Linked DNA regions of Tamandua tetradactyla. The protein of the gene in region 3 interacts with the protein of the main gene of each other region in a biochemical or structural test. Links are inferred from orthologs where the notes say so. Each region holds a gene or a part of one and is shown on either strand. Other genes may lie near its edges.

What was found.
Region 1: of the proteins of MAPK1 (region 3) and MBP, one has a biochemical effect on the other in vitro, tested with the Homo sapiens proteins (16 studies listed by BioGRID and IntAct). The link is inferred for Tamandua tetradactyla from reciprocal best matches to the Homo sapiens genes MAPK1 and MBP.
Region 2: of the proteins of MAPK1 (region 3) and GAB2, one has a biochemical effect on the other in vitro, tested with the Homo sapiens proteins (2 studies listed by BioGRID). The link is inferred for Tamandua tetradactyla from reciprocal best matches to the Homo sapiens genes MAPK1 and GAB2.
Region 4: of the proteins of MAPK1 (region 3) and ESR1, one has a biochemical effect on the other in vitro, tested with the Homo sapiens proteins (3 studies listed by BioGRID, with this or other methods). The link is inferred for Tamandua tetradactyla from reciprocal best matches to the Homo sapiens genes MAPK1 and ESR1.

The regions. Positions count from the first base shown.
Region 1 is NC_135344.1:5,464,886-5,472,312, forward strand, and holds the start of MBP (myelin basic protein), read left to right. Parts: upstream 1-4,411; 5' UTR 4,412-4,599; intron 4,600-5,199; exon of another isoform or gene 5,200-5,299; intron 5,300-5,950; exon of another isoform or gene 5,951-6,516; intron 6,517-7,427. UniProt on the Homo sapiens protein: The classic group of MBP isoforms (isoform 4-isoform 14) are with PLP the most abundant protein components of the myelin membrane in the CNS. They have a role in both its formation and stabilization.
Region 2 is NC_135334.1:66,269,171-66,276,544, reverse strand, and holds the start of GAB2 (GRB2-associated-binding protein 2), read right to left. Parts: upstream 3,009-7,374; 5' UTR 2,936-3,008; coding exon 2,861-2,935; intron 1-2,860. UniProt on the Homo sapiens protein: Adapter protein which acts downstream of several membrane receptors including cytokine, antigen, hormone, cell matrix and growth factor receptors to regulate multiple signaling pathways.
Region 3 is NC_135331.1:26,071,244-26,078,183, forward strand, and holds the start of MAPK1 (mitogen-activated protein kinase 1), read left to right. Parts: upstream 1-3,933; 5' UTR 3,934-3,939; coding exon 3,940-4,058; intron 4,059-6,940. UniProt on the Homo sapiens protein: Serine/threonine kinase which acts as an essential component of the MAP kinase signal transduction pathway. MAPK1/ERK2 and MAPK3/ERK1 are the 2 MAPKs which play an important role in the MAPK/ERK cascade.
Region 4 is NC_135328.1:143,353,393-143,361,174, forward strand, and holds the start of ESR1 (estrogen receptor), read left to right. Parts: upstream 1-4,769; 5' UTR 4,770-4,915; intron 4,916-7,782.

The DNA.
Region 1 (7,427 bases), on a different chromosome or scaffold from region 3:
AGCTTGCTCCATGGCTTCCTCTGGTCATGAGAGCCCTTGGCCTGGGACTTTTAATCGGGGTGTCCCCCTCCTGCCGCAGGTGCGGCCCCTTCTGCTCACTTCCTCCGGAGCATCTCATTGTCTTTCCCCGATGGCGTCACTGGAGTTAGCACTTGGCCCAGAGCTGGCCTTCTCTGCCTCCCCAGCGCCCACTCAATGCCGCTGCCCACTGCCTGGGGCAGGGGGGCTCCAGCTTCTCCCATGGGGTGCCCACCGCCGCCTGCTGGCCACGCACTCACTGCACCATCTTGGCATGTGCTGTGACCCTGGGACTTCTGCTCCTGCCCCATGAGATGGAGACAGGAAAAGGCTTACTGCCTCGCTGGCCGGGGAGATGCAGTAATGAGCGGTATAGGGCAGGCAGGCACACAGCAACTTCCTTCTGACTCCTCTATTCTCATCGTGGGCACTGTGGGGACTGCACCTCTGGCCCCTGCCTCCTCTCCCAAGCACCTGCAGCTCTCCTTGGCTGCCTTCACACATGCTGCCCCTTGGGCCAGTTAGCCCAGCCCTGACCCTTTCTCATCTGGAGAACTCCTATTCATCCATCTAAACCCCCACTTGCAGGTCAGCTTCCCTAGGCTTCTGGCCTCACCACTTCCATCTGTGTCCCCGGGCCTCCAGAGCTCACCCTCTTGACACCCTGTCATGCTCACTGCCCCCTTGTTTTGTCCACACCAGAGGTTTTAGTTCCTTGAAGGACACGTCTCATTTAAGGGCTTAAAAATATCTGTGGAATAAATGAACGAGTGAATGAAAGTAAAGTGTTTGGTAAGTAAAACTGTCAGTTAAATAAAACAATCTCTTTTCTGGAGGCAGAATTCATCTTTATAAGAAGTAGAGGGAACAGGGGGTGGGGACAGAATTTTGCCCTCAAGGCTCCTGTCTCCACCATCCCCTCCGCAGTCTTGTCACCCATATTGGGCAGCTGGGCAGGCTGGGAGCGAGTGTCCCCACTGGGCTGTCAACGAATGCATGGCTGCGGGTCTGTGGGTCTTCGGGGCTGCGGGGTCTTCCTCGAGGGATGGTGGGGGGGGGAGCCAAAAGCAATCAGTCCAAAAGGTGAAGGCCAGGGGTCAGGGGCAGCCACAAGCTTCACCCAGGCTGGGGGCAGCACCCGAGAGCAGGCCCAGCACATCCCACAAGGTAAGAAGAGCTGGGGACCTGGAGACGATGTGGCCTTTTGGAAAATGCAAACTGCCAAACCAACTCCTCTTCTTAAAGGAGCGGCAAAGCAGCCCAAAGAATGTAAGAGGTTTACTGGAAAGCAGCCCATACATAATCAGGGAGCAAACTGGAAAATAAAGAAACTCTAAAAGAAATATATATCTGAGATGGTTGAAAGGGAAAATGTTAGGTTGTACAGAAGGCAGCAGAATAAACAATTTTTAAGAATCCATGGAACTGCACAGCACAAATGGTGGCCCCTAAGTTAAATTGTGGGCTGTAGCTAATATTATAGTTATAAAAATGTGCTGCCATCAATTGTGACAAATGTCCTAATCCAATTCAAGGTGTTAATAATGTGGTGGTGTATGGGAATCCTGTATTTATGCATGAGTGTTCAGTAAATCCATAGCATCTTTAATTAAAAAAAATTATTTAAAAGCAATTCAAGGTGGTACGGTGGTGGTACCTGCCATTTCGGAGGCCCGGGTTCGATTCCCGGTGACTGCCCTTGCAAAAAAAAAATAACAATAATAATAAAATAAAAGCAATTCAAATAGCAGAGTTAACCACAGTTAACTGACGGGGATAACTAACTACCACAGTGTGTTTACTAGTGAGCATATGTACAGTTTCTTTTCAAATACACAATATATAATATATACCCCTGTAGTTCATTAAAAGAGTGATCCTGATCACTACAGAGAGCTGCTGGCTTTTATTTTCATTAATGAAGTTATGGGACTATGGTTAAAGAAAAATATTATACATATAGGGGTACACACACGCACATATACACTTTGTAAAACAGTTTATAAAAATATCATTTCAACAATCTCCTTCCCACGTCACAGGCCCTACAAACCCCCTTTCCTTTCCTCCCCCCACCCCGGAGTTCCCGTGTCAGCGAGGAGCGAGCGGGTTTCTGGGCGCACACGTGCTCAGTCGAGCGCACTGAGCCCCGACCACGGCTTCACATCCCTGTCTCCTCACCTAGGGGTCACTCACCTTGTCTTCCTGAATTCAGTGACCGTGTCGGGACTTTCTAGTTGTTACCTGGACCCTCTGGAGAAGCAATCGCCGTGACCCTGTCCAATGCGTTGTCACCAGCGCACTGTCACACACAAGCCGGGGGTGGAAGTGAGCCCAGTCCTTTCCCAGATGGAGGAGAATAAGGAGAGCTCAAAGCACATGTGCTCTGAAGTCGCTAGAAGCTCCTCAGGTTGCTTGACCTGCCGCTTCAGCCCGGACTCCGCGCGTGGATGTGGTCAGGTCGCGGCCCCTGGTTATGTGACCTGGGGAGGGACTACACTGTTTCCCTAGAAATGTCTGCAACGCGAGACTCAGATAATTTACCCTTTACTTCTCCCAACAAGAGTCCTTCCAATTTTATTCAGCATGAGGAAAAGATCACATTTTGTCAAATGAACCTCAGTCATTTTGCTAAAAAACGCGCTGTCATTGTATATAAAGCTCGACTCTCCCTGGGGCCTCTCTGGGCGCCCTGGACCCAGGTCCTTTTCCAAGGCGAGGAGAAGCTTCTAAACCCAACCTCCTCATGCCCACACAGAGCCTTCAACGCTCTCTTCGTAGGATCCGTGTGGGCCGGCAAAGGGCGATGGTGCAGTTTATAAACATTCTGAAAAGAGTTTTAACTGGCAGGGTTGGAAGGCCTGAAACTCACAGAGGTGACTGCTGGCTGGTGTCCTATTTCTTTAAACCACTGAAAAATTAGCAGAAGTGGCATAAAGAGGAAGGACACCGGTTGCCACTTGACTACAGCTGGCACCACGGGCCAAAGCCCAGCTCCCTGGGCTCGCAGGGCACGAGTCTCTGTTGCTTTCTTCTGAGTCACTGTGAGACGACCAGAGACACATTTCGGGGGGAGGGAGAAACTGTCTGCAATGTCCAAGCAGACGTCCCAGCTACAGCCCAGTGTTCCCATCCCCAGGCCTAAGAAGTTTGGGGGGAGTGACTGGAGTTGGGTTATGTCACTGGCCCTGGCACCCCCGGCCCGTGTCCCTCAGGCCCACCCCACTTACCAGGTACTGAAGAGCTGGTAGCAGAGGCCCAAAAGCTGGTGTCCTCCTCACCTCCCGCCTCCAGCCTGAGCACCTTCAGCTCCTCTCGGGAAAGGATCACGTGCGATGCTTTCTATCACTCTGGAGAGGTCACACACACTCGCTAATTCTGATGCAGTCAGCATTTGGACGTGGCAGACCTGCGGGGACCCTGTGTGTGGGGGGGGGTCAGGCTTGGGCAGGGTGTTCCTGAGACCCCGAAAGAGATTGCTGGGGCCACAACTGAGAGGGCCTCCTGACAGCGCCAGGTGCATTTCCCTGGCCAGGGAAGGGAAGCGGGAGCCGGGTAAGCGCCTCCCCTAGTGCCCGGCCTCCCCCATCTCCTGTCTTTCCCACCCACCTGCGGCAAGAGACCAAGAATTCAGGGGAGGTGTCCAGGGGAAGGCTCACAGAGCCCACCAGGGTTTCCCTCCAGATCTCTGAGTCCAGTTGGCTCACGTTCAAACGGCAGGCTTCCTTTTAACCAGGGCAGGACAGACACCACCTACCAAAAGGAAGCATGGGGACTTCGGGGTCAGCCAGCCCTTTCTGCTCCAGAAGAAGGTGGGTCCCCCGGTGTATGTTCTTTGCCCCCTTTGGGAAAACTCTGGTTCTCCAGCAGAACTGCCGGTGGGTGAAGGTTCAACCCAGGAACAACCTGCCTCTAGAGGGGCAACTGCAAGGCCCGGGTTTGATACCGACAGCACCCCCAGAGCAGTGGGTGTTCCCAGAGGGTCAGTGGGAGAACGGCCTGGAGCGCCAGGTCCGGACAGGGCCGGGCTCTGCCCAGCAGGTTCCCGGCGGGCACCCCAGGTGCGAGCTGCGGATCCGGACGGTGGGGGCGTGCTTGTCCCCACGGTGGCCGAGCCGGGAGAGGGGGAGACGCTCTCTGAGACTCCTCCTCGGGGAGGTAGGGGCCGGGGCTCGATTCGGAGGGTAGGCTCCAAGGCTGGGGTCCACCGGCAAAGCTGCCCTCCCACCCCTCCCAGGGCTGACCCTTGTGTGCTCACAGGGTCACTTTGGCCCGCGCGCCTGGGGCGGGAAGAGGGGCGGCCCGGGGGGCGGCGGCCTTTACCTGCCGCCAGGAAGCGGCGCGGGGGCGGGGCGGGGCGACCGGGTGCGCGCCGGGCCCGCGGAGAGCGCTGTCAGTCACCCCGCCGCGCGCCAGCGAGGACGAGCCTACGGCCCTGGCGGCCCGCGTCTCCCAACTAAAGCAGGCGGCTGAGGCGGCGGCGACTCCCAGACCAGCCCGCCTGGGGGCCCGCGGACCTGGAGGAGGCAGCCGCCAGCCCCCGCGCGGCCCCTCGGCCTCGGAGCCGCGAGCGCAGCGCGGGTGAGTGACCCTCGCCGGGGTCGGGCGGGGTGGCCGGGGGCCCTTTTGTCTCCCGAGCCCTTCTCGGAGCGCGAGGTGCGGGGAACCGGGTGACCTCGGGGACCAGCGTGAGGGAACCCCGAGCCTAGCTCCTCTGGGGCGTGTGGGCAGGGTTGGCCCGTGTCAGCCGAGGGCGGCTGCCCCGCGGTCAGGGGGCTCGGGGCACAGTCGGGCAGCGGCGCAGGTGGCCGGGCCGCGCGGGCGGGACGGGAGCAGTTGGCAGCCCCACGGCCTCCCGAGCCCGCCCCCTCCCACCCCTCACCACCCACCCCCATCCGAGTCTTCCCTGCGAGGAACTAGGGCACGGGTGTAGACGCCGCAGAAGGGGCCGAAGCCCTGACAGAGTCCGCGGTGGCGTCCGGACCACGTCCGCCGTCTTGGGGTGGCGGGGACCCCGCGAGGCCTAAGCGGGGAGCGGGCGGCGGCGGCGCGCGGGGAGGAGTCTCGGTTTGGGGCGGGGGGAGGTGACAACGGTCTCCAGGCCGCGCTCAGCCCGCGGCCACCGGGCTGCGTGGGGCAGGCAGGAGGGCCGCCTGCCTTTGGCGCTTTGGAATGGCTCACCTGGCCGGGCCCCGCGCCCTCCCGAGAGCCGAGCACGGTCTCCCTGCGAGCAGCGAGCGCGGCGACCAGCGACTTGGCCCTGCGCTTCCGCCTCCGCCCGCCGGTCTCAGCCCCTGCGTCCCGCCCCGCCACCTGCAACCTACGGGCGGCCCATGCGCCCCGCCCAGGGCCCCCGCCCGCCCCCTGCCTCCTGCCGCCCACCTGCCGCCCACCTCCCGCCCGACCCTGCGTCGCTGCCCTCACCTCCCGGACAGGGCCGCCCCTCTGCTGCCTATGCCGGTGCTCACGGGCGCCTGAAGTTGTCTCTCTGGGACACGGGTGGCACCAGGCCCTCTGGGCTTCTCTGACTCGGCCTGCTCCAGCCCTCTGCCCCGGAGGCCGAGTGGGAGTGGAAACGTGTTTCTTTGGGGCCGGGAAGGGTCTCACTTAGACTCTGGAACTCCTGGGGCCTGCTCTCCGTTTTCCAAGGGCCACCGTGGGAGAAGCAGCATGTGCTCCGTTTATCTTTGAGTTTGTGGAGGGGGAAAGCCGGGTGACACTGGGTAGGGACAGGACAGTCCCCAAGGAGCAGAGGGACCCTTGTGGAGGGCCTGGGAGGAGCTGGGCTGCCACAGCACCCCACCCAGCCTGGCAGGCGAGCTCCCACCAGCCAAGGAGGAACTGCAGGGGGGTTAAGTAAGATAAAAATAGTCTTTTATCTATAAAAAATCAAGTTAAAATTTATTGTTCAATAATGGTTAATTCCCAAGGAATTAACTGTTCTGAAATGGCTATTTTTATTAACTTGTTTAAAAGAAATACAATTTGGTTCAAATCTATTTGGAAAATCTTTCTAAAGTACTACATTTCTGTCTGCCCTAAGATAAGAAAATCAAAGATAAGTTCCTTGTCTTACAAGTTGGTATTTACTTGCTCTGTCATGATTTTGAACCTGGGCTTCTGCTTCCTGGTCAAATGTTGGCGCTCACTATCTGCGCAATCAAAGGAATTCAGTAAAAGCTGAAAAAGAATTGAGATCAACCTTTCTGGGGCTTTTCCTATTTCTGACATTTTAAATGTTAACTGAAGGTCATTTTGTTTGCTCTTTAGCGAGTCTCCGAATTCTTTAAAAGTTTAGCACGTTTCAGGTTTTGCCGCCGCCCCTCTGCCCGATCTGTGTCCGCATGGCACTGGCAGGGCCCTGCGCCCTCTGCATCACTTTATTCAATAGTCCTGGCTGCGCTGTGACATCCTCACTTGTTGTGACAGTTACCCTTTTAAGATCCTCTTGTTTTTACACAGGGGGATACTGAGGCACAGAGATGGTGATTACCTTACCTACAAGACACAGGATCAGTTAGAAGCAGAGCAGAATTCCAGGGCGGGGGGAGTTGTGTCCAGCCACCCCGCTGCCGCCTCTGCCGTGGGGGAGGACCTACCCCCCACCCCACCCCCGTCCCCTCTGTTTCTCTTTCTCATTTAAATGCCACCGTTAATGAGTGGCCCTGCCCGATAAAAGCGTCTCCTTCCAGATGACTGGACCCGAAAGGCCCTGTCCCCTGTCTGAGTCCCTCATCCTCTCCTTAGTGTCCTTCCTTGTCAATAAAGAACAAAAGAAAGTATTCCCCTTACTCTCCGTATAATTTTTAATTAACAGCCAGGAAGCAGTACTTAAGGGAGCTTAACTCAGGCCTGGTGCCAGCGGCCCCAGCCGCTGTTTAATGGAGCAAAAAAGCACCTGGGAAACACTGCTGAGGTCGGCATCAGTCAGGGACCCCCAGAGAGGCAGAGCCTGTAGGGGCTGGAGGTGAAGGACTGTGGTGCCAGGGGTGGGCTTTGCCTCAGTGGGGAAAGGCGGGCGGGCAGGGCAGCCCGGCTGCACGTGCTGTCCGCAAGCAGAATTTCCCTCTGGTTGTAACACATGACAACTGGCAGCGATGTGGCAAGCCTACCAGGAGCGGCTCAGAGCAGCAATTGTTAGCATTCAAACATAACAATTAGTTATGTTGATTCTCAAATCGTGGTCTACGCAGTTAGCACTGAGTAGGCCTGTAAGTGACGGGATGAAAACTAGATGGGTGCCAGGAAAATAAGGCTGAACAGACGCATGGTGAGGATATGGAATATATCCAAAAAAATCTTAAAAATCAACAGTGTTAAACAAGTGACCCCAAAGAAAGATGTGCTGGTGAACAGACTGGTCTAGAAGGGAAAGCTCAGTGGGCTAGTCAACGGGGGAAAGTCAGGTG
Region 2 (7,374 bases), on a different chromosome or scaffold from region 3:
TAATGAACCTGTGAAATAAACAGAAAACTGCAGTGCACTGTTTGTCAATAAGTAAGCTTTTTACTCAAGAAAATCCCATTTCAGTTATATGCATGTCTATATACACACACACATATATCACACACACATACTGGGAGACTAAGTACTCAATGGCAAAGGAAGATTTTTCAGTTTCTCCTGCCAGTCTCCCACTATAACCATTATCCTGATGCCCGCGGGCAATATTCACAATTTTCCTGAGGTCATTTTTTGCAATTTCTCTAGGGCACTCAGCAAATACCAGACATAACCTTTTACATTTAAATGAGATTAATAAAATAGAAAATATTGTGGGGGGAAATTGCTAAAACCTAATCCCCAATAACATCTGCCATAGCTTCTTCCAGGTTGATTTTTTCCCCTACACCTACCCCTCACTCCAAATTAAACCAGAAATGTTGCTTTTTAAAAAGTAAAAATTAAATAATTTTAATTTATTTCATAAACTGCTTTTTCCCTTAACTCATAAATTTGATATATTTTTATGAGAAAGATTTATCAGTCTACAAAATCACATGTATATTATAGTCACCACAAGCAGCAGCTGTTTTGGAGTTTATGTTAAGCAATTACTCTTTCCAAGTTTGCTTCTAATGAATTTGGACCTCTAATAAACAGAGGGAACTGGCAGAGTTCTAACTTAAAATGGGGTACAGAAATTCTCAACACCCAAAAAGAAAAGGAGATGTAAAGGCAAACTGCTCCACAGGAGTTTAGGGTTAGTCAGAGTGGCTCAGTTTAAACCAGGGGGAATGAATTTCCATAGTGGGAAAGGGTTCCACTCATACCAGTGAAATACACCATGCTATCGGCAGAAACTGCAAGGAAGATGGGAAACAGAGATGGAGATCAGGACTCTAGGGTGTTAAGTAGTTCAAAGGTGTGAAAAGTTTCTTAATCTAAAAGCCTCCAAACTTGGTTATTCTGAGCTAAATCTGCTCAGCAATAAAAATACCCAAGAAATGGGTCTGAAGAGAGTCTGAAGTAGCCACCAGTCAAATATGGATACAGTGTTAAATTGTTTGCAAATTGTTTCAAAACAAAGTTTCAAGGTTTTTTAGGATATTGTTCTAATTTGACAATTAAGGGTCACTTCTCTACTGCACACTATTTCACTGCATAGTATGAAACTTTTTTTTATTGGCAATTTTTAGAAGCTCTTTGAGGACCCAGATTTATATATATATATAAAAATATGCTAACAGGATATTTCTCCTCAACTTAATACAATCAACTTTCCTAATAAGCTGATACAACCCTGAAGATGAAAGAAGTCTCTTTCTTAGTCATTATAATACTTTAGCTACACAGACACCCCTGAAAATGAGATGAACAGTCATTCTCTCAACCCTATTGTACTTTAAATCTATGTCCACTTTCATAAATCATGTGTTGAATCCTCAGATTTTTTTTTCCCAGTAAATGATCTAAGAGCCTGATTTCATATTCTCTCTCTCCCCCACTCTCTTACACACACACACACCTGCACTCCCCAATAACAACACTTCCTTTGAAAAACAGAATGTCACTTCCTCAGTCCAGAGGCCAGAAGTCCCTTGATTCTGATCTGGGGAGCCAAGACAGGAAACTCTGGTAAGCTTCTGCCTCTCCCCCCATGGACAGCCACTGCTGCAGCTGACAGAAGGCAGGGTCTATTCAGAGCTCCCTTGATGCACTGCAGCTGGAAGACAAGCCCTCACTTCCAGACTATGGGAGCAATCCTAGAGCCCAGCACCAAAAATCAGTCGTAACAAGGGCATTTTGTAGGAAGTGAAGAGGGCGAAGATGGGAGACTTTGAGGCATTTTAGCGACCTTACTTCCATTTCCAAACTCCGGCCACAACTCCGGGGCTGATTTCTGCCAAAATTTGTAACGCACCGTTTTGTTCTTTGACCCACCAGGCATACATCCTCGGGTTAAAAAACAAAAAAACGTCCTATCTCCTCACAGCTCAGCACCAGGCTGTACCACATCCCCCTTGATATTGCCAGTTTCTCACGCAGAGGAGAGACGCTGTCCCAGCAATTTCAGTAAACACTGTGGGTTAGCACCACCTGGCAACTGAGAACCTTGATCTCTCCCGACCCCAGACACCAAGGTCTACACAATACAAAACCCAGGCTAGTTACAACGGACCAAACTGCAGTGTCACACTCGGGGGAGGGGTATGCATGTGAGAGACATACGGAGTAAAGGGAAAGAAGGGGAACAAACAAATGAGTCACTTAATACAAGGGCTGCACATGCCGCTGACGCTGCCCATGATGCAGAAGCTCTGGACTGGAAGGAAGCAGACGGCCACCCGGGAGGGGCGGGCAGAGAACGGGAAGAGGGAGAGGGTGTGAGGCGCGTCGCCCTTTGTGCGGGACAAGCCGCGCGGCCACACAGCTTACTCCCCCCTTTCCCACCCACTCCTCCGACCCTGCAGGGGGAGACCGCCCAGGGTTACTGTGCTTCCTAGCCCGGGGAATCAACTCTCTCGGTCTCCCCAAACAATCAATACAAACTTCAACGCTGTGTTTAGTTTACAAGGAGGCTGGCTGGGGAGGTGCCTCCGACGTGCCTGCCCAGCGCAGAGGGTGCCGCAGCCTCAACCAGCCGCCCCGCCCCTCGGCGGCGCACCTGTGACAGGTGTGCAGGTGCCCCACACACCCCGGCGCCGCGGGGCGCGGCGACCACTCCTCGACCCCCGCAGGCCCGGGGGAAGGTCCGCCGTCCCCATTGGCGCGGCCCCTACGGAAGCCCCCACCCCTCTGTAGGCCGCCGGGCGCCCCTAGCTCGCGCCCCCCGCGGCCGCTCCCGCTCGCCGCCTGCACTCACATAGCGCCTCAACTTCTTCTCGGGGGGCGATTTCCTCAGCCAGCCGGTGCACACCACGTCGCCGCCGCCGCTCATGCTGTCGGCGGACTGGAGCCCGCGCCGGGTCGGGCGGACAAGGGCGCCGGCCACTGGGTCAGTCGACCCGCGGTGCGCAGCTCGCGCGGGAGGGAGGGGCGGGGCCGCCAGGGGCCGCCGGGCGAGGACGAGGCGGCGCGGGCCCAGCCGTGAGTGCGCGCACCCGCTCGCCCCCGCCCCCGGCCCGGCCCCGCGCGCGCACTCGCTGCCGGCCGGGAGGGGGCGCCCGGCAGGAAGCGGCCAGCGCGCGCTCGCCACGCCCACAGCCCGCCGCGCGCTCCGCCTGCGGACAACGCCTCGCGGCTGCCGGAGGACCCGAGTCGGCGCTAACGTCCAAAGCTACCTTCGGCTGCGCTCCCGTCCTGGTTTTATTTATTATTGTTTTTCCTTTCCCCTCTGAAGTCTTTTCCAGAAAATCCGGAGGACTGGGGGAGACAGCCGCGCCCTGGAGGGGAGGTGTGAGGGGAGAGGAATCAGAGGGCTGTCGGTCGCGGATCAATTTTTCAAGGAGAGTTGACGGGGAAGGGACCCGAAGGCTGCTCACGTTTCCTGTCCATTCCCAGAGTTTCAGGTTTCAGCGGGTCAGGTTCTGGCTGAAATTAGTGATCCGCTTCGCAGCAAGAGTTTCATTAACTCTCACACTCCCTTGGCGGGAGGAAAAAAGGAAAACACACCTACGAAGTGCCGGATGATTGTCTTAACCTACAAATTGGTGGGCAGTAGTGTTCCTATTTTACAGATAGCCTAAGGTGTCAGCACTAGTACAATGCAAAGCAAGATTTCTAATTCCGAGGAGGTAGGGGTAGGTTTGTGCTTATCTGCTATTTAAAATGGGGGGACTGCTTTAAAGTCTATGAATCAACTTGGTCTTTGTCAGGAAACAAAGTCCAGCAAGCTCCCATACTGCCTCTGGGAAAGTGGCTCAGTAAAAGAACATCTGTATGACTTGAAAAGAACTGACGAAGCAAAAATTAGTCAGTGTATATCATGGCAAATTGGAAGACAGAAAAAAGAAAAATTGGGGCAAAATTCCTCAAGTTCCAACTCATTTATATAGGCTATGAGACCTCTTTGGGACTCATTTGTAAACTGGAATATAATGATACATCTCTCCATGAGCTGTGGTAAGGTTTAACTCAGATAAAGTATGTGAAAGTACACACTTGACAACACCAGCACTTCAGGGGTAGGGTGGAGAAAAACATGAAAATACTTTTGGTAGCTCTTTTTCATTCACAAAGTTCCTTAATAAGCAGCCTTAAGCGCCCCAAGTTGTCTTTCAAGTGGATAGTAACCCAATGGGTTACTGTACTGCCACACATGAACTGGAGAAGCAGCATCTCTTAAAAAAAACACCTTTCAGAAAGCACCTTTCTCTCCCAATCTTAGACTAAAGCTATTTTGTTCACTTCCCTGTCTCCAAGCAGCTAAGCTACTTATTTCAAGGAGCGTGACTTTCATCTTGGTTGAGTTAGACGTTCATCTACTGGGCGCTTAGCTTTTCCTGGCACCCTGGGAGATTTAGAGAGCTGCTCCCTTGACCCCAGTATTTCACTGACTTTCTTCACTGTCCAGTATGCTGTTGAATAGAGTTTAAAGCCAGCACTATAACAATAGCTGGAACCAGAGCTTCCTTAGCCTTTCAGTTCATAGATCCTTAAGCCACATGCAAAGGCCACCACCAGAATTACCTTAAAACTCTAGGAGAACTGAGAATAAAGGGTAACTAGGTCAGCAATTTTCATGTAACATTCTTTGAACCTATCTTAAAATACTATTTAAGTAAATGATCTAATTTCTACATAATTGTTTCACAGAAATGTCTTTTTTGTTTGTTTTTATAAGGTGTTTAAACAAGCTCAGCTAAATTCAGGATCCTGTAGCCACTTTGTGCATGAGGGAGCTTGAATTTAGTGGCTTTCAACATTATTTATGAAGAAAAAAAATAAAGTATCTCATATTGAACGTTATTGTACTGCATTTTTTAATGTAACAGTGCAGATCTTGTTAAACACATGAATCTGTATAATCATGTTAAATGCAAATAAACTGGTTCATGGGGAAAAAAAACCTATGACATAAATATCAAAACACTCAAAGTGCCAGATTGATCAGGAGGCGGTGACTCCCAACCAAAATAAAGTAATCTTACTGACTATTCACATCTGAGTCATGGTGCCAAGTCTCAGGGACTGCAAGGAGTCTGAGAAAACTTCAGGATTTGGCAGCAGCTGAGGTTTATGATGCAAGTCAGGCATCCATATGCCTTATCTTTCCCTAGAAGAGTCGTAAGTCTTCTATTACATACCTATTAATATTTATATGATTCATGACAGATGGGAGATTGCTCAGCAATGATTACTTGGGGGATAGGTCACATTCAGCCAAAACTCTTTAAGGTCTTAGAAGTCTTAGAAGACTTCAAGCTTTTATTTACAATTCCATATGAGAATTATGGCCAATGATGGGAGAGGCCTTAAAATACGAGTTACAGAGTATGGGCATATCAGGAAGTCTGCGAACACCACCCTCCTTCCCCAAAGGTTGGAGAAACACCACCCTCTCTTCCGTGCTCTTCTGTTCCCTCACTTCCCGAATTCTCTCTCTGCACCTTCCTCATCACTTGGCTGCCAGCGCCCAGTACAGGCTGCACTCAGAATGCTGGCTTCACCCTGTGTGTCTCAATCTTCGGAGCCCGGGATGCCTGTCAGGCCTGAAAACAGCTCTCGGACAAAACGTTCCTGTCTGGGCCTTTACTGAGTACTCCCCACCCGCTGCCTTTTTAAAAAATGTTCCCTGGTTTTCGCTAAGGAGAAAGGGAAAACAAATTACTTAAGTAATTTATTTACACGAAGACAGGCGCCACCTACCGGAACCAGTTGGGACGACATTTCCCCCACCCTCCCCGTCGCAACCGGTGCGGACATGCATCGCTAGTCTATAATTTAGGCAATTTCTATTAAAGACCATGGGGTAATTCCTGGGGGGTGGGGGTGGGGTGGATTAATGACCGGCTCCAAGGAGTGTTTTGGGTCATTAATTTCTTATTCTCATTACATTCCAAGGAAATTACAATCTTATGTGTGTGCATGGGGGTGGGGGGCAGGGAGGATCGTGGGGAGGGAGCAGTCACACCTGGGAGGGGAGCATGGGTACCAATTTTTGCCCTACCCCCCTCCACGCCCGGGTTCTAAAGGGTGCACTGTGGCTTTTAGTGTCGTCAGCGACAGCCTGCATCCGTGCCTGTCTGGGAGCTGAGAGTTTGTGGCCAGCGGCAGGTGCATGGCTGGTGGAACGCTCCCAGGAACGGGTTGGAAGGGCTGGAAGGAGAGCTGTCCTCAACTGCACACCAGGCTGGTGTGATTAATACCACCCACGCCAGGCCTGACGTCAGCGATTGGACTGGGGGTGGGGACGGTGTTTGTGTTGTAGCCCTTCTGTCTTTTCTCCCCTTCAGTTTAGTTGACAGGTTAATTTCAGAGCTGCACATTGCTTGCCAAGGTCAGTATGACCAGCTGAGTCACCTCAACAGAGGACTCCCAGGACACTGTTGTCTTTCAGGCATCTTGATATGTTTTGCCTCTTTAACCCCAAGTCACTTAGAGCCCAGTTGGTTCACTCCATCAAATTACCCTCTGATTTAAATCAACTCTTGGATCTGCTGGAACTGAGATCTGGAAGTGGGCTTGGGGTATGGTTGAAGACCTATTTGGATTTCCCTCTCTGTGGATGGCTGCTAACAATATGAGAGTTACACTACATCAGTGGGAGGCATTTTGGTAAAGTTTGTGCCATTTAGTTTCCCATTGTAGAGAATCAAAACCTATGCTAATTGCTTTGTGGCAGGTTTGCTCCTGGGACATTTCTGCTGCTACTGGTCAGCTTGGTAACATCGTGTTGCACTGAACCCACTGCAAAATCAGTTGTCCATGCTCTCCCAAGAGCAAAGACTGTTGAACGCTTTGCATGCTGGCCCCTTATTTTCTTCACAGAGAGAACTCCTATCTCAAATTATATCTTAAACCTGTCAATACTCCCTTTCCTAAAACTCACCCTGCTCATTCCCCAGCACAGTTGTTCATTTTCTTTGTATTCATACTGCACCTAGTAAAAATAAATATGATTATCACACTGTACTGCAAATATTTGTTTACTTGTCAAGGAACTGTGAGTTCCTGGAGGGTAAATCTCTCATATTTTTCCAAGGATATTTTAGGTTGGTGTCAGGCACACAATAGATACTCATTAAAGTTTTGTGTATGTGTGAGAATGAATGAACCAAAATGCTTGAAGGATGACAAGTCCAAGACATCCTTCAAGGGGCTGGGAACCTCTGAAACATCCAGTTCTCTCAGGTGCACCCATAGCAGAGAATTGTATCTGTGAGGATACTTACTATATGACTGGAGTGTTTAAATCTACAGGGACTGGCCTGGATG
Region 3 (6,940 bases):
ATGTGCCTTCTCACTTGAGAAAGAAACCCTTAACTTCATCGGCCTTCTTGAACCAAGGAATCTGTCCCTGGATGCCCTAGATTGGACATTTCTATAGACTTGTTTTATTTGGGACATTTTCTTGGCCTTAGAACTGTAAACTAGCAACTCATTAAACCCCCCTTTTTAAAAGCCATTATGTTTCTGGTATATTGCATTCTGGCAGCTAGCAAACTAGAACAAGTAGCAAGGCTTAAGAAATATGAAAGAAATAGAATTTACAGGAATTTGTGATCAGTTGGATGGCTGGGATTGGAGAGGCAAGAATACTGCATGGGTGTGGGATGGGGGAAAAGTAGAACGAATTATAAAAAGTCATGCCTAAATTTCCAACTTGATTGTTTGGGTGGAGGGGAATGGAAACCACAGACCCAGGGGGAGAAACAGGTTGGGTGGTGTGCTGGTTTGAAAGGATTTATGTATCTTAGAAAAATCATGTTTTAGTCCTAATCCTATTTTAGTGTAAAGGCAGCCTTTTCTTCTAATCCCTATTTAGTACTGTATGTTTGAAATTGTAATTACATTATTGCCACAGAGATGTGACTCAATCAAGTGTGGGTATTAAGCTTGATTAGACGGATACGTGTCTCTACCCATTCTACCTGGATCTTAATTAGTTTACTGGATTCCTATAAAAGAGGAAGCACTTTAGAAAAAGCTGGAGAATGATGAAAGAATGACATAGCCACAAGAAGCAGCAGCCAGCGACCTTTGGAGATGAAGAAGGAAAACGCCTCCTGGGGAGCTTCATGAAACAAGAGGGCTGGAGAGAAAGCCAGCAGATACTTCCATGTTCTCCCTGTGCCCTTCCACTTGAGAGAGAAACCCTGAACTTCATTGGCCTTCTTGAATCAAGGTAACTTTCACTGAATACCTTAGATCGGACATTGCTATAGATTTGCTTTAATTAGAACACCAGATTGAATCAGGATTAAAACATGACTTTTCTAATGTACATAAATCCTTTCAAATCTGCACAGCAGCTAAAGTTACCATCTATCAATCTTGTTCTGTTTTCCTTTGGCATTCATTATTTACTGCAGAGGAAGAAGCTGGGGGAAAAAATACACCCAACATTTTTTAGCTTTTTAATAAATAACTTTTTATTTTCCGCTGATGGGATACTGTTAGTGTTTGCTCTTTCCCCCCTGGGATTTAAGAATGCTTCCAGCTTGTATCTTGGAGCCTGTTTGTTAATTTTTCTGGATCTCAGTGAACCCACTTAATTTTCCACCCTGCACCTCAGATCTTTTCAGACTCAAGTTTTTTTTTTTCAATTATATTGTTGATCCTACCTTCTAATTGATTAGCTGTCCTCTTTTGGGGGACACCTCTAGTTTCCATCTCCATGCTGTTCTCCAGCTCCATTATCTTCTCTTTTAAAGAATTCCCCAATACTCCATTCTGTGTTCTTAAAGATTTTCTCAAGTTTTCCTTTGATGTGCTTTTCTGCATTGTTAAGTCTGCTTTTTGCTGCTTTGACCACTGCTTTTAATCAATAACTAAAGAGCTATTGTGGTTTTAATTTTATGGTACCCTCCCTTTTACCTTGGCTTGTTCTTTAAGATATATAATGTCTCTCTTCACCCTGGAGTAGGCAGGTAGAAAGTTGGAGTACATATGCAAGAGGGACATGCAAGAAAAGAGGGGTGAGATGTGAGGCAAGCTGCTTTATTGCTTAGTTGACTTACTTCCCTTCCTTCCTTAGTTCATTTACTTACTGCCCCTTCCTTTTTCAGGTTTTTTTCTTCGAATCCTCCCATCTCTTCAGGGCTGTGCCTGGTGGCTGATCTGGGGGGTTGGCCACCTCCAGGTGTTTTGCAGGCCAGGCCCTCCTGACCTTGGCAATGCCTTCTTTCAATCAAGAATAAGAATTAAGTGTTTTCTAAAACTGGGTCTGCATGATGGACTGAATGCATTTCAAAGGAGTAATTTTTGGCTCTGGCACTTCATTGCTTTTCTTGTGTGCCACACAGTTAGTTCCGCAGGGTTAAAAAAATTGCTTATTAGTTTTTAAAGTTGACTAGTCTAGTTGATCTTTGTTGATGTCTGATATGCAGCTGGTGGCTTTAAAGACCACATGGCTGGGCAATCCGGATGCAGCCCTTACACCCTTCCAGAGATGGTCTGGGAAGAGGTACAGGGGCACCGCCCGGTCTCACTGGCTTAGCTTTTCCTGGCACCCACCTGCCACAGGAGTCCAGTTTTTACTTTTCAACCTCTAGTGTTTATAACTATTTTTGAACCTCCGTGGAGCTGTCTCATTTTCTTTAAGTCTTGAAGCGTTGCTTTTAGTATGTCCCTCTTGACCTTTCTATTTCATTGTTTATGTCCAAGTCTCTGTCCAGCTGTACCATTCTGAGTCTTGCGTCTTTCTCTAGTGTCTTAAACCACTACTCTCTAACCCCTTATTCTGCTTTATATTTTATCATAGTACTTACCTTAATATGAGTATTGTGTATATTTATCTATATGCTTCCTCCCTCTAGAATATAATCTCTAGGAAGGTTTATACAAGAGATTACAGGTGAATATATATATGAATCTACAGATATAGAGAAGATATATATTACTTTATATATATATATAGTATATTTAATCACCATCATATATGCTTCCTCTAAAATGTAATCTCTAGGAATACATATACTATATATATAATATTTATATATAGGTAGAATATAGGGTATATATTCGAGTATAAGTATAGGTATAGATTTATCTATAGCTATATATCTTTTTTCTTTTGTATGTTGTATAGTGGGGGGTCACATTTCATTATTTTTCCATGTGAGTATCCATTATTGTAGCACCATTTGTTGAATTTTTGTTTGTTTTTTGGGAAGTGCATAGATCAAGAATCGAACCTGGGTCTCCTCCATGGCAGTGAGAATTCTACCACTGAGCTACCCTTGCACACCCTATAGTTAGAGAATATATAAGTGTGTATATATATCTATATATAGGTATATATTAGCATATATATAGGTATAGGCATATATCTATATAGAGAGAATGTATAGGTATGTATCTATAGATAGGTATATATTAGCATATATACATATACATATAAATCTATAAATCTAAAGATATATATACAGATAATATATGGGTGTGTATATATATATATATATGAGTGTATATGTAGGCATGTACATATTAGAGAAAGATATGTACCTATATATCTCTCTATATAGGTACATATATATTAGAGGTGTGTATATATATCCATGCATACACATATATATATATAAATTTATTTATTTTCTTCTCAGAGCCGACCCCCGGGAAGATGGCAGGTGCTGAACCCCTATTTGCTGAAGGGCCTGTCTGCTTAGCGCACCGTCTCGGAACCCCCGGTTTTGGTGTCAGCCCCTCAGTACGGAGAAGTGTCCCTCGGTCGCGCCCGTCCGTCGCCGTCCTTGTCCGCGCGCAGCCCACGGTCACCCTCCCGCTCCGAGGCCCGCTGCGCGCCCTCGGCTTCCCGGGGGCCGCCTCCCGGCGCCCGTGACCGCGCCCCCCGGGCAGCGCCCCAGCGGCCGCCGCAGTGCCCCGCCCCGAGCGCGCCGCTTCCGCCGGCCCGCGCACGCCCCGCCCCCGAGCCGCGGCCAGCCAATGGGCGCGCACGCCACCCCGCCCCGCCCTGGCGTCCTGCTAGGCGCGCGCCCCTCCCTCCGCCCGCCGGCCCGCCCGTCAGTCAGGGAGGGAGGCACAGAGGCGGTGGGGCCGAGCTGCAGTCAGCAACCCTCAGCGGCGTCTTTCCTCCTCCTCCTCCTCGTCCTCCTCCGCGGCCCACGGCGGTGGCCCGGCGGCGGCGCGTTTCCCACCCTTCCCCGGGAGCCGAGCGGCGGCCGCGGAGCGCCTCGAGCCCTGCGCGGCGGCGGCGGCCCGGCAGCCAACATGGCGGCGGCGGCGGCAGCGGGCGCGGGCCCCGAGATGGTCCGCGGGCAGGTGTTCGACGTGGGGCCGCGCTACACCAACCTCTCGTACATCGGCGAGGGGGCCTACGGCATGGTGTGGTGAGTGTCGACCCCACCCGCACGCCCGCCGGGCCTGGGGGGCGCCTCGATCTCCCGCGCCGCCGCGACCCCGACCCCGACCCCGGCGTGGGGGTGGGGCTGCGCTGGGGGTTGGGGCTTGCCCGCGGGGCTCCTCCCGGGCCGGGCAGCGCGCGTCGCGGCAGGGGGCGGGGGTCCGCGGACGGAACGGCAGCCCCCCTCCCCGTGTTGGCTGACCTCGGGGTCTTCATTTGGAAATCCATTTGGAAAAGCGGGAATCCCTTTAGAGGCGCGGCGGCGGCGGCGGCCTCTCTGGTGTGCAGAGCACCGAAATAGTCCCGTTTCCTACGCCGGCCTCCCCGCCTCGGTTTCCCCCGGAACGGCTCTCGTTCGGCTTCGTCGGTGGGGCGGGCGGTGCTACCCCGCGCAGGCTTTCCGAAAAGCACGAGGGACCCCCGGGTCGCTGGGGGAGTCTTTCCATGTTGGAGTTTTCGGATGTAACGTCGCGCTGTTTGCATTTTCAGGAAGGATCATCCAGCGGGGCTCCCATTGATTTATTAAAAGATCCGTTTGGAGTGGGTCCTAATTTGACTCCCCCCCCCCCCCTTTACCCTAAAGACTCTCTTTTAGCAGCACAAAAATGCCTCTGGACGTCTTGACAATTACTGTAGACTTTGTTCATGTTTTAGCGCTCAGTGCGGGCAGCCTTGGTGGAGTTCTTGCACCATCACAACATGCTCCCTTATCCCGACTCATGTTCCTCAGAAATGTGTGGAAGGAGAGGCTGACGGTGTGTGTGTGTGTGTGTGTGTGTGTGTGTATGTATGAGGACGAAGGGGCTGGTGAGGATTTGTGGAAGTGTAGATTTCCTTACACCTACATCTTCTGTGAGTATGTTTTCTCTGGAATGAAGGAAGCAAAGTAACATTGAAGAATTCTTAGCAGGTACTGTGCTAAGTCTGCATGATCTCATTTGGTTTGAACAACCAACTTCTTCTACATTGGGGCGAGGAAGGGTGGTGGTATATATACCTCCTGCAGGTGAGAAAGTGCTTGGACCTCAGATTCAGATCAAGGTCTGATTTTAAGTGCTGCAGCTCTTTCTGTTACATGCTGCTTTCCTTAAATAAGGGGTTCTTAATGATTTAAGAATGTTAGCGTGTCCCAGCAACGCATTCACATTTGAATGGACATAATTTTTAAAAAAGAGGGCGCGTTTATACTAACTTCGCTAGATGAACCAACCAGGTAAAATTATTTTTTAAAAAATTTTAATGAATCTTGAATACTGTCTTTCTCTGTAGGGGCAAAATGCTCCACAGTATACAACTGTGAAAATTAACATGCATTCACAGGTTTAGGAGCTAAAAGAGAAAATAGATCAGACCTAAAAGAGATAGGACCCTAAGAAAATAATGGACAGAAAGCATTGACTGCAGCATCACTTCTGTTGGTGCCACTGCATCTGCTGGTAAGTATGTCAATGAGCGTTTCTCTTTAGGTGAATCTCAGAATTGTCCTTCCTGTTCTTTGGTCCTTCTTTTGAAAATTAAGTTTTCTAAAATGAGAACTGAAAAAATCCTAAGACATTTCTATTGAAATTTTTTTTGTTTTTTATCTGATGAGATTTTTTACTTAGAGAAGATGATCTCTATTTATTAACCATTTCTATCACTGCTGTAGACTTCTTTGATTTTCTGAGTTTCCTGGTGAAATACTTAAAGTTTTCTTCCTGTGATTTTTTCCTTACTAAGTAAAATCCAAGCAGAAATGAATTGGATCCAGAGGCCTTTTTGTCTTAGGTTGATATTGTATTCTAATAAGAACTTAATCTTCTACAGAATGGGGTTTGAGTTGGGCCTTTAAGAATGTGTATGACTTTGATAGGGAGATAAAAGGAGCAAGTGACAGCTTGAGCTGTAGAATCTAGTCCTGGAAAAGTACTAAGGAGGCTAATTGTAGAGAACTCTTAAGGCAAAGCTGAGTTTCACTGTGTGTTTGCGTAATGGGGGGGGGTCATCGCCATTTTGTAGGAGGCTGTCATTTCATCAATTTTTATTTTTAAGATAGATAAACGCCCTTAAGAAGTGAAAGAAGAAGGAACTGGAATGGAGGGAATTAGTTGGGCTATTGTAACCTAGAGGCATAGTAATACGGTAGCAGTGGAAGGCATTGAGCAGAGGTTAGTTAGCTTGCCAAAGGGCAGATGGAAGTGTGAGGCCTGCAGAGATAGGATCAATAACTAGGGCTCTCATCATAGGAGTGGCAGAAAGAATTAATGGTGGCATGTAGGGGTAGGAACAAAAAAATGATGAGGCCACCATAAGGGGTAAGAGAGGTAGGTTCTGGATTTGAGAGGGGTTTCTGAGATAGATAGAGCTAGGGCTTGGTGATGGATTGTGTGGGCAGTTGTTAATTTCAGGGCTTCTAGCTTGTGAACTTGGAAGGATGGTGGTTCCATTATCTGAGGGAAGGAATATGGGAGGCAGAGCAAATTTAACTGGAAGAAATAGGGGGTTCTGGTGTGGACCGATGAAGTTTATAGTGCCCATGGGCCATTCAGGCTGTATCCAGATGGTATCTTGGAATTTATAAGAGGGAAGTTGGCGCTGAAAACAGAAATTCGTGTAAATGGTAGTTGAAGATTTTTCATGTGTTTGTTTTCTTAAGTTTTCAAAACTTAAAAATTATCCACCAAGCAACAACTCTCCCTCCCCCCCCCATTTCGTAATCCACTGTCTATAAGTTTTGCTATTTCTGGATATTTTGTGTAAGTGAAATCATAAGGTAGTTGCCCTCATTCATGTGCTTTGCTTTCACTCAGCATAATCTTTTCAAGGTTCATCCATGTTGTGGCGTGTCTCAGAACTTCATTCCTTTTTATGACCAAATAGTAGTTCATT
Region 4 (7,782 bases), on a different chromosome or scaffold from region 3:
ATGCTTTTCTTTGAATTATATTTATCAGATTGTGTTTTCCCTGTTTATTTCAATTACATTGTATTATACTGCCTCATTTGAAGTGCTCTTTTCTTATTATTTATGCTTTCACAATAATTCAGTTTGTCTAATAGTGGTGAATATAATTTAACTAAAAATTTTAACCCAGAGGCAATTTTTTTCTCTAAGAAAGCACAGAATATTGTAGAACAGTGTTAATCTAAGTACATGTTTTTATTTTTAGTGATTTCATTAGATGGGAAAATTTAAAAATCGTTCCTAATCACCTTCTTACAGCAATCTGATGAGATTGCTCTTTCCTATTTACTGATAAACCTCTCAACTTTTCATCGCAGGACACACCCATAGCTTGTGTGTTCCCATAGTGTGTCCTGTGTGTAATTCTTGTGAGCTGGCTCTCTCTGATTCTGCAGGAATGTGTTCAAAGTACAGGTTCTTGAGTTGGACCACCTGAGTTTGAATCTTGGCTCCCACTATGAAGTCTTGCTAGGGATACTAAATCTTGATTTCCACCATTTTCTCTTCTATAAAATAGGCTTTGATAGTCCCTACCTGTGATGGCTAGGTTCTAGTGTCAACTTGGCCAGGTGATGGTGGTCGGTGGTCTGGTCAGGTAAGTGCTGGCCTAACTATTGCTGCAAGGATATTTCATGGCTGGTTGATAAACTGGAAGGCTGGTGTATTAAATCATCAGTCAGTTGATTGCATCTGTGGTTGATTACATCTGTGATCAACTAAGAGTGTGTCTCCAGCAAATGAGATAACTCAATCAGTTGGTTTTGATCCAATCTTTGAAGACTTTTAAGGAAGAAGAGAGAATTTTTCACTGCTTCTTCAGCCAGCAAGCCTCTCCTGTGGAGTTCATCTAGACCATTCCTCAGAGTTGCCAGCCTCACAGCCTGCCTTATTGATTTGAGGCTCTTCCATTTCCACGGTTGCATGACATACTTTTGTAAATCTTATATTTACAGGTCTGTTTTTCTGGAGAACCCTTACTAATACACTACCCCACTGGGTTGCTGTGAACATACTTAGCACCTGATACCTCATACTCAGTAGAAAATATTATCATTTTTACTTTAATTATTATAATTTTTAATTTTTTCCCACTTGAGAAAGCCCATATTAAAATGCAAATAAATGACAGTAGTCTCTTGAGAGCAATTAATCTAATTAAAATTTTATATTGTACATTTAAATTTTCCTATAAAAGGAAAACGATCTATAACCTTTAGTTCAGAACCCAATGGATGTCCTGTTATGGCAAGTGTTGCCCCATGATTTTCTTCTCTGTATTCATGTCTATAATCGATTTTTGCAGGTTGCTAAATGCCATTTGGAAAACAGAATTCATCCACTCTGAAAAATAAAATAGTTGAGAGATTTAATTCATGTACATAAAAGCATTTTGTTTTTGAAAAGTTTAAACTATCCAAATGTTTATTAAATAACTTACTTTCTACCAGAAATCATAATAAAATAATAAAAGCAAATACCCCCCAATAGTGCATTAGTATACATGACTATTCCTTTTGTTAGCACATCTTGTGGAAAGTTTATGTTTGTTAAATTAAAATTAAAACTTCTTATGTTAGCTAAAATCTTTCTTGCTGTAAGCATGCTGGGGGACATTAATCTCAGGTAAATTTGCATATTCAAATTATTGTGTGGGCTAACTCATAAGTTTAGAGAGGATTGCTTAAAGGTCCTTAAGATCATTTCTTTTTAAATGTTCTTAGGTGTTAGAGTATGTTAAACAGATAATCAGAAAGTATTGGCAAAGTCATTTGAGGGATGGGAGAAAGAATATGGAACTATTAAACCTTACCATTAGGGAATTTCCTGATACTGTGTCAAACTTTAAGGACACCCAAATCAATAGGCCATGCCCTCGATCATGAGGCTTACTCTTGTGAAGTATATGCAGATAGAATAGAAACTTAGACTACCTATAGGCAGGCCTAAGAATTACTTCTGGAGGACCTCTTTTCTTGCTCAGATGTGGCCTTAGTCACTCTAAGCCCAACTCCGCAAGTGAAATCATTGCCTTTTCCCCTACATGGGACATGACATCCAGGGTTGAAAGTCTCCCTGGCGACATGGGAGATGACCCCCAGGGTCATATGAATCCAGACCTGCCACCCTGGAATCAACAATTCCATCCTGACCAAAAGGGAGAAAAGAAGTGTAATTAATAAAGTATCAGTGGCAGGAAGAGTTCAAATAGAGTCAAGAGGCTTCTCTGGAGGTTGCTCTTATGCAAGCTTCAGGTAGACATTGCTACCTATCATAACTTGCCAACCGTCAACCAGGCCCATTCCAGCTAATCCTAAAGAACACCTAGGGCAATATGTAAGATTCCACAAGCATTCCAGGCACTGGAGTAACTTTCCAGAAACCTACAACCTCCAGATGGTTCTCTGGTCCAGATAAGTCCTGACACCTAGCCCAGCTTCTCCAGAACATCAGAACATCTCCCTATCCCATATTAGTGACAGACCCTTCCAACATCAAAAATTTAGAATTGCCATAGCCCAAACACCCCTAAAGAGAGAAATGGAAAGATCAAAGGTGATGGTGGAATTATTCAGAGAAGATAGGATTTAATAAATGAATATGAATGCTGAGTCATTAAATTGATATCTCTTTCAGTCTCCAGTATTTTAGAGCAGCTAGAAGTAGAAACCTGAAATTGTGAAATTGTAATTCATGTCAAAGTCTGAAATATGTTTTACAACTAATTGTGGTGCTGTGCTTTGAAATTTATAGCTTTTTTGTATATATGTTATTTTTCACAAAAAAAGGAAGGAAAAATGTCGATTGTGATGATAAAAAAATTTAAGCCCTCTGGCCTCCTATACTCTGGAGCAGCTAGAAGGAAAAATAGGAGAGGATCGTATTGTAGCCCATAACAAACTCTGGGATCTGTCCTGTAACTATTTGTTGAAGAGGGCTTTGAAAACTATTACTTTTTTCTTTCTTTGCTTTGTATATGTGTTATACTATACAATAAAAAAAAGTTAAAAATTTTAAAAAAAGGCCCTAAAAATGTTCTTAGGTGTTGATTATGAGAGTTTTGTTTTTCTTTTGTAACCAAGCCAGTTTCTTTTAAAAATGCAATTTTTTTGAGTGATATTCACATACCATATAATCAACGTGTATAATCAGTGGTTCACAATATCATCATATAGTACTGCATTCATCAAAAAAATCAATTTTGAACATTTGCATTACTCAAAAAAATACATATAAGAATAAAAATGAAAACAAAACAAAACAAAACACCCCAAACATCCCATACCTCTTATCTCCTCCTATTTTTATATATTTTTGGTCCTTTAATTTTTTGCTCATCTGTCCATGAATGGAGTGTCATCGCAAGGTTTTCACAATCACCCGGTCATACTGTAACAACTTTATAGTTATACAATCATCTTCAAGAATCAAGGCTACTGGAATACAGCTCAACAGTTTGAGGTGTTTATTTTACCTTTTCTAATCCACTAAAAACTAAAAAAGGCTAACTATATAATGCATAAAAATAACCTCCAGAAAGACCTGTTGACTCTATTTGAAGTCTTTCAGCCACTGAAACTTTATTTTATCTCATTTCTCTCTTCCCCTTTTTGGTCAAGAAGGCTTTCTCAATCCCATGATGCTAAGTCCCAGTTCATCTCAGGAGTCCTGTCCCACATTTCCAGGAAAATTTACACCCCTGGGAGTCATGTCCCATATAGAAAGGAGGGCAGTGAATATACTTTGCTGAGTTGGCTTCCAGAGAAAGACTAAGCCAGTTTTGAGACACACCTCACCCAACAGATGGCAAAAGATTTTCTTCCTTCACCTTCTCGTCCTACCATTCTCATGTTCGGAAGACCAAGTCTAATTGATTAGAAAAGCTAATATCTAAAAAGCAAAACTAAACAAAACAAAAACCTTAAAAATATACGCTATATAAATCAGAAGCAGATTTTCCACTTTTTTTTTCCTGCACAGGCAGGCACCGGGAATGGAACCCAGGTCTCTAGCATGGCAGGTGAGAACTCTGCCACTGAACCACCATCGCACCTCACTATTCTTTTTTTTTTTTTAGCCCATTTTCTACTTCAGACAATGTCTCAGTGTAAAAAAGAAAAAACCAAACAAGCAAAAAAACAATCAATCAACACTTAAATTGCTGTAGGAAATGCCTGAAAAGTTTAGGGTAAGATCATCTGACAGAGGGAAGGGCTTCAGAGGCACGGAAAAGCTAAACCTGTACAGGTTAGTGCAGTAAAAAACCTAATTAATCAACGACCAGGAAGGCAGAGCATGTTGAGGTATCCACGGCTAAGCAAGAAAGTTAAAGAAATGCTCACAGAATATGTGTCCTCATTTCCACTTTTAGCTGTAACTAATTTTGGATTAAGCATTTATGTGCTGAATGAATGCTGTATATATATTTTCCAACTAGACACTCCTGTTTAGACTTCAAACCTTATTATAAGTAAAGAGAAAACCGACTGGATTGCATAAAAATTTCAATCGACCAGATTGCATAAAAATTTTACAAGCAGATGAACACATCACTTATCTTTTGTTAAATATCGATCTTAAAGGAAGTGCTGCGAAAGTTCATCAGGCCTAGCTGGCTGAAACCAAGGCCACCCCCTCCTCTATTTTTTTTCAAGGAGATTTTCCAGTCCTAGTCAAATGGTGGTGCTAGTTCTTTATTTTTGAGTTGCTGCATTTCCTAATTTCATGATCATAACGGCCCCCTGTCTACTGCCTCAGAACGGATTTCTCCAAAACTGAAAATGCAGGCTCCAGGCTCAGAAGCTCCCTAACGGCTCCAAAGATTAACACTCCTTCCTCCTGTCCATTCAGTAACACGAGAAGACAGCCTTCTCTTCAAGTAGGTACTCCTCTTTCTTCTCAGTTTAATTTTTTTTTTTTTTGGTTTTTGCTATATATATGCTACTGTTTACAAGCACAGTGTAACTTTAGAGCTTACCTCTCACGTTAAAAGGCGTTCATTTTTCTCTAAATGCTCCAGGGATATTTTTCAAAGCCTTTGCAAAGCAAAACGTCCCTGTAGGCAAGTCTGACTACGGTGTTAAAACGTTAAATCTAAACTTGGTACAGTGGAAATTCACTTTTGGAATAATATTCAGCTGAGTCAGAGGGCAAGGCGAGTCCTCTCTTCAGTTCTGCGCTGATAGGCTGCCTGGCTGCCCCAGATAAAGTATGTTTATTGGACTCCTCTCACTGTAAGGTTCTCTATTGTTAGTGTGTCGGAATCTTACCAGTTCTCGATCTGATCACTGACTAGCGTGAACATACTCCCTGTTTTCTTCATCTTTGGTGCTATAACTCACACGAATTTGAATGCAGCAATCTGAACAAGCCACTATTTGTTTCCTGGAGGCAGTAAAGTTTTCTGAAGAGCTACACAATCTAGCAATACCAGGATGAGCTACCCTCTGTTTCAATGACCCTATGGTTTCAGACAAGTTATTTTGAGTCCTGCTGCCTCAGTTTTCTCTTCTGTGGAAAAGATAGGCTAGTTTTTGTTTTGTAGCAGGGTGGTGCGTGCATTAGTGGCTCCATCGCGAACGATGTGATAGTCAAAAAAGCTGGGACAAAATACTTTCATTTTGATTAGAGGAATGTCCCACGTTTCAGGAAGTATTTGTTAAGTTTTAGGTTTCACGTTTTGTCAGTAAGGTCACCAGATTTTGTTCTGTCAGACGTGCCCATAGAAGCTGACATGATTTTTTTAAAAATACTTAACGCTGGATAAAGGCCTGGGCATTATAGGACTTAGAATTGTGGCACTAATTTCTCTTCAAAGGTCCTAGATTTCTAATAGCTTTATGGGCCAGATTGAATAGACTTACAGAATAGCTCTAAGCAAAAGGTTGCTGGAAACTTCTCCTGTTTTGAATGTATATATGCATTGATGTACACAGATACATATATTAGTATTGAGAGTGAAGTTGTGTTTAAGAGGTGAAGGTATTTGAACTGAATAGAGAACTAAAAGAAATGAAGTTGGTTGGGAACTTCTGAAAATTCGAAGCCCAATTTCCACTCTAGAACATTCTTTTGTACTTCTTTAAACCAAACGTTCACCCCAATTGATAATATTATACGAAGACCATCCATTGGGCCTTAAAATGCATGGATATAAAATCCTAAGAGTTGCTGTATTTTCAAAGACATTGGGAACAATAAAGGATTTGGGTTTTGGAAACAGGCAGATTTAGAGAAGCTAGATTTTGAATATAAAGGTCAGGGTATTTCTTAGTGGGATATATTTCTTAGACACTTGGAGATATTTGTTTTGTTTCATTGCTTATGACAGGTAAGGGAGGTATAAAGCACATAGGTCATAAACCTGAAGCAGAAACAAAGTCAAACAACTTTCTTATTTCATTTAACTCTGCATCTTTCATTTAGTTTAGGATCTGGAGCTTGCTACCTCCTCCAAATCCTCACTCTAAGCCTTTATACAAAATAAATTTACAAAGTAAATTTACTTTGGGTGCCTGCGAAACATTTTTACATGGTTCTTGGTAGATATTTACCTGTATTATTTAACCTAGTTAACCAGTACAATTGCCAGAGCTGAAGGTCTGGGAGATGGAGTGTCAGTTTGCTTTGCATAGAGAAATCTCTACTCTGCGGTTACAGATTGGTTGGCAGGAAAAATAGGCAGGAAAGAGGGTGACCCAGCTCAGAGTAGGTCATCCACACTGTAAAACACTCATAGCACATTCTTTATCAATGGTAGTTGAGACAAGGTCCTGCCATTGGCCTCTCTGTCATTAGTCCCTGAGAGACACCCTTAAGGCAGTAATCTAAGGGTGGCTTTTGATGAAGTTGATGGTGATGATGGTGAGTCTGCCTTCTTGGCAATCTCTCAGTAGCCTACCCTAGGTCATTCCTTCTGGACCACAGCAGCAAAACCTTACACAACAGTGTGTTCTGTGGTTCTTTCTAAGGGATGTAAGTTTTTTATTTATCAAAGTCTGTGACTCAGAGGATGCAGAGGATTGCACTATCCATTCCTTCCCCACTCCCACTCCAAATATTTCTCTAAAAAGCTTATACTTCTGATCAGGTTTTCCACAGAAGATAACTTTTTAGTGAGGATTCCATTCATGAGTGACAACTTAGCTTCAGAGCCCAGCTGAATTGAATCCATGCCATAGGTCCCCAACATTTTTCTAGCTGTGTGATTCTGACACAGAAGTGTTTTTTCAGACAATAAGAGTAGCTACCAGGCATAATTATATGGAATAAATGAGATTAAACTACCTGTGAAATAATTCTTACAGTCTTCGATATGTGGAAGTTGCTTTTATTCCAGTTCTGGTTTAGGATGAGATATACAATAAACATGGGTTGCATGGATGAATGAGTGAAACTCATGGAAGATTTGCATTCATCTGGCAATAATGGGTAGCTGATCTAAAAAAAAAAAAAGAACAGTGAATTCAGATAACTGAGTATTCCATGGGGTTGAAATGCTGCTGCTTTTGTAATGGACATGAAGTGCTGGAACAGAAAGTATGCAAACCTCCAACAACCTTCCCTCCATTCTTCCTCTCCCTGTGATTATAAGGATAGTCATATCCCTTTGGCATGAGAAAAGCAGCAGAACAGCAAAAAGGCAAAGTTTTTGCTATGATGAGCACATTAAAAGCTTATTAGAGATGCTTCATATTCATTTTCATATCAAAGAAAGCATTCTGCTCCATTGTTCCTCAGTTTCTT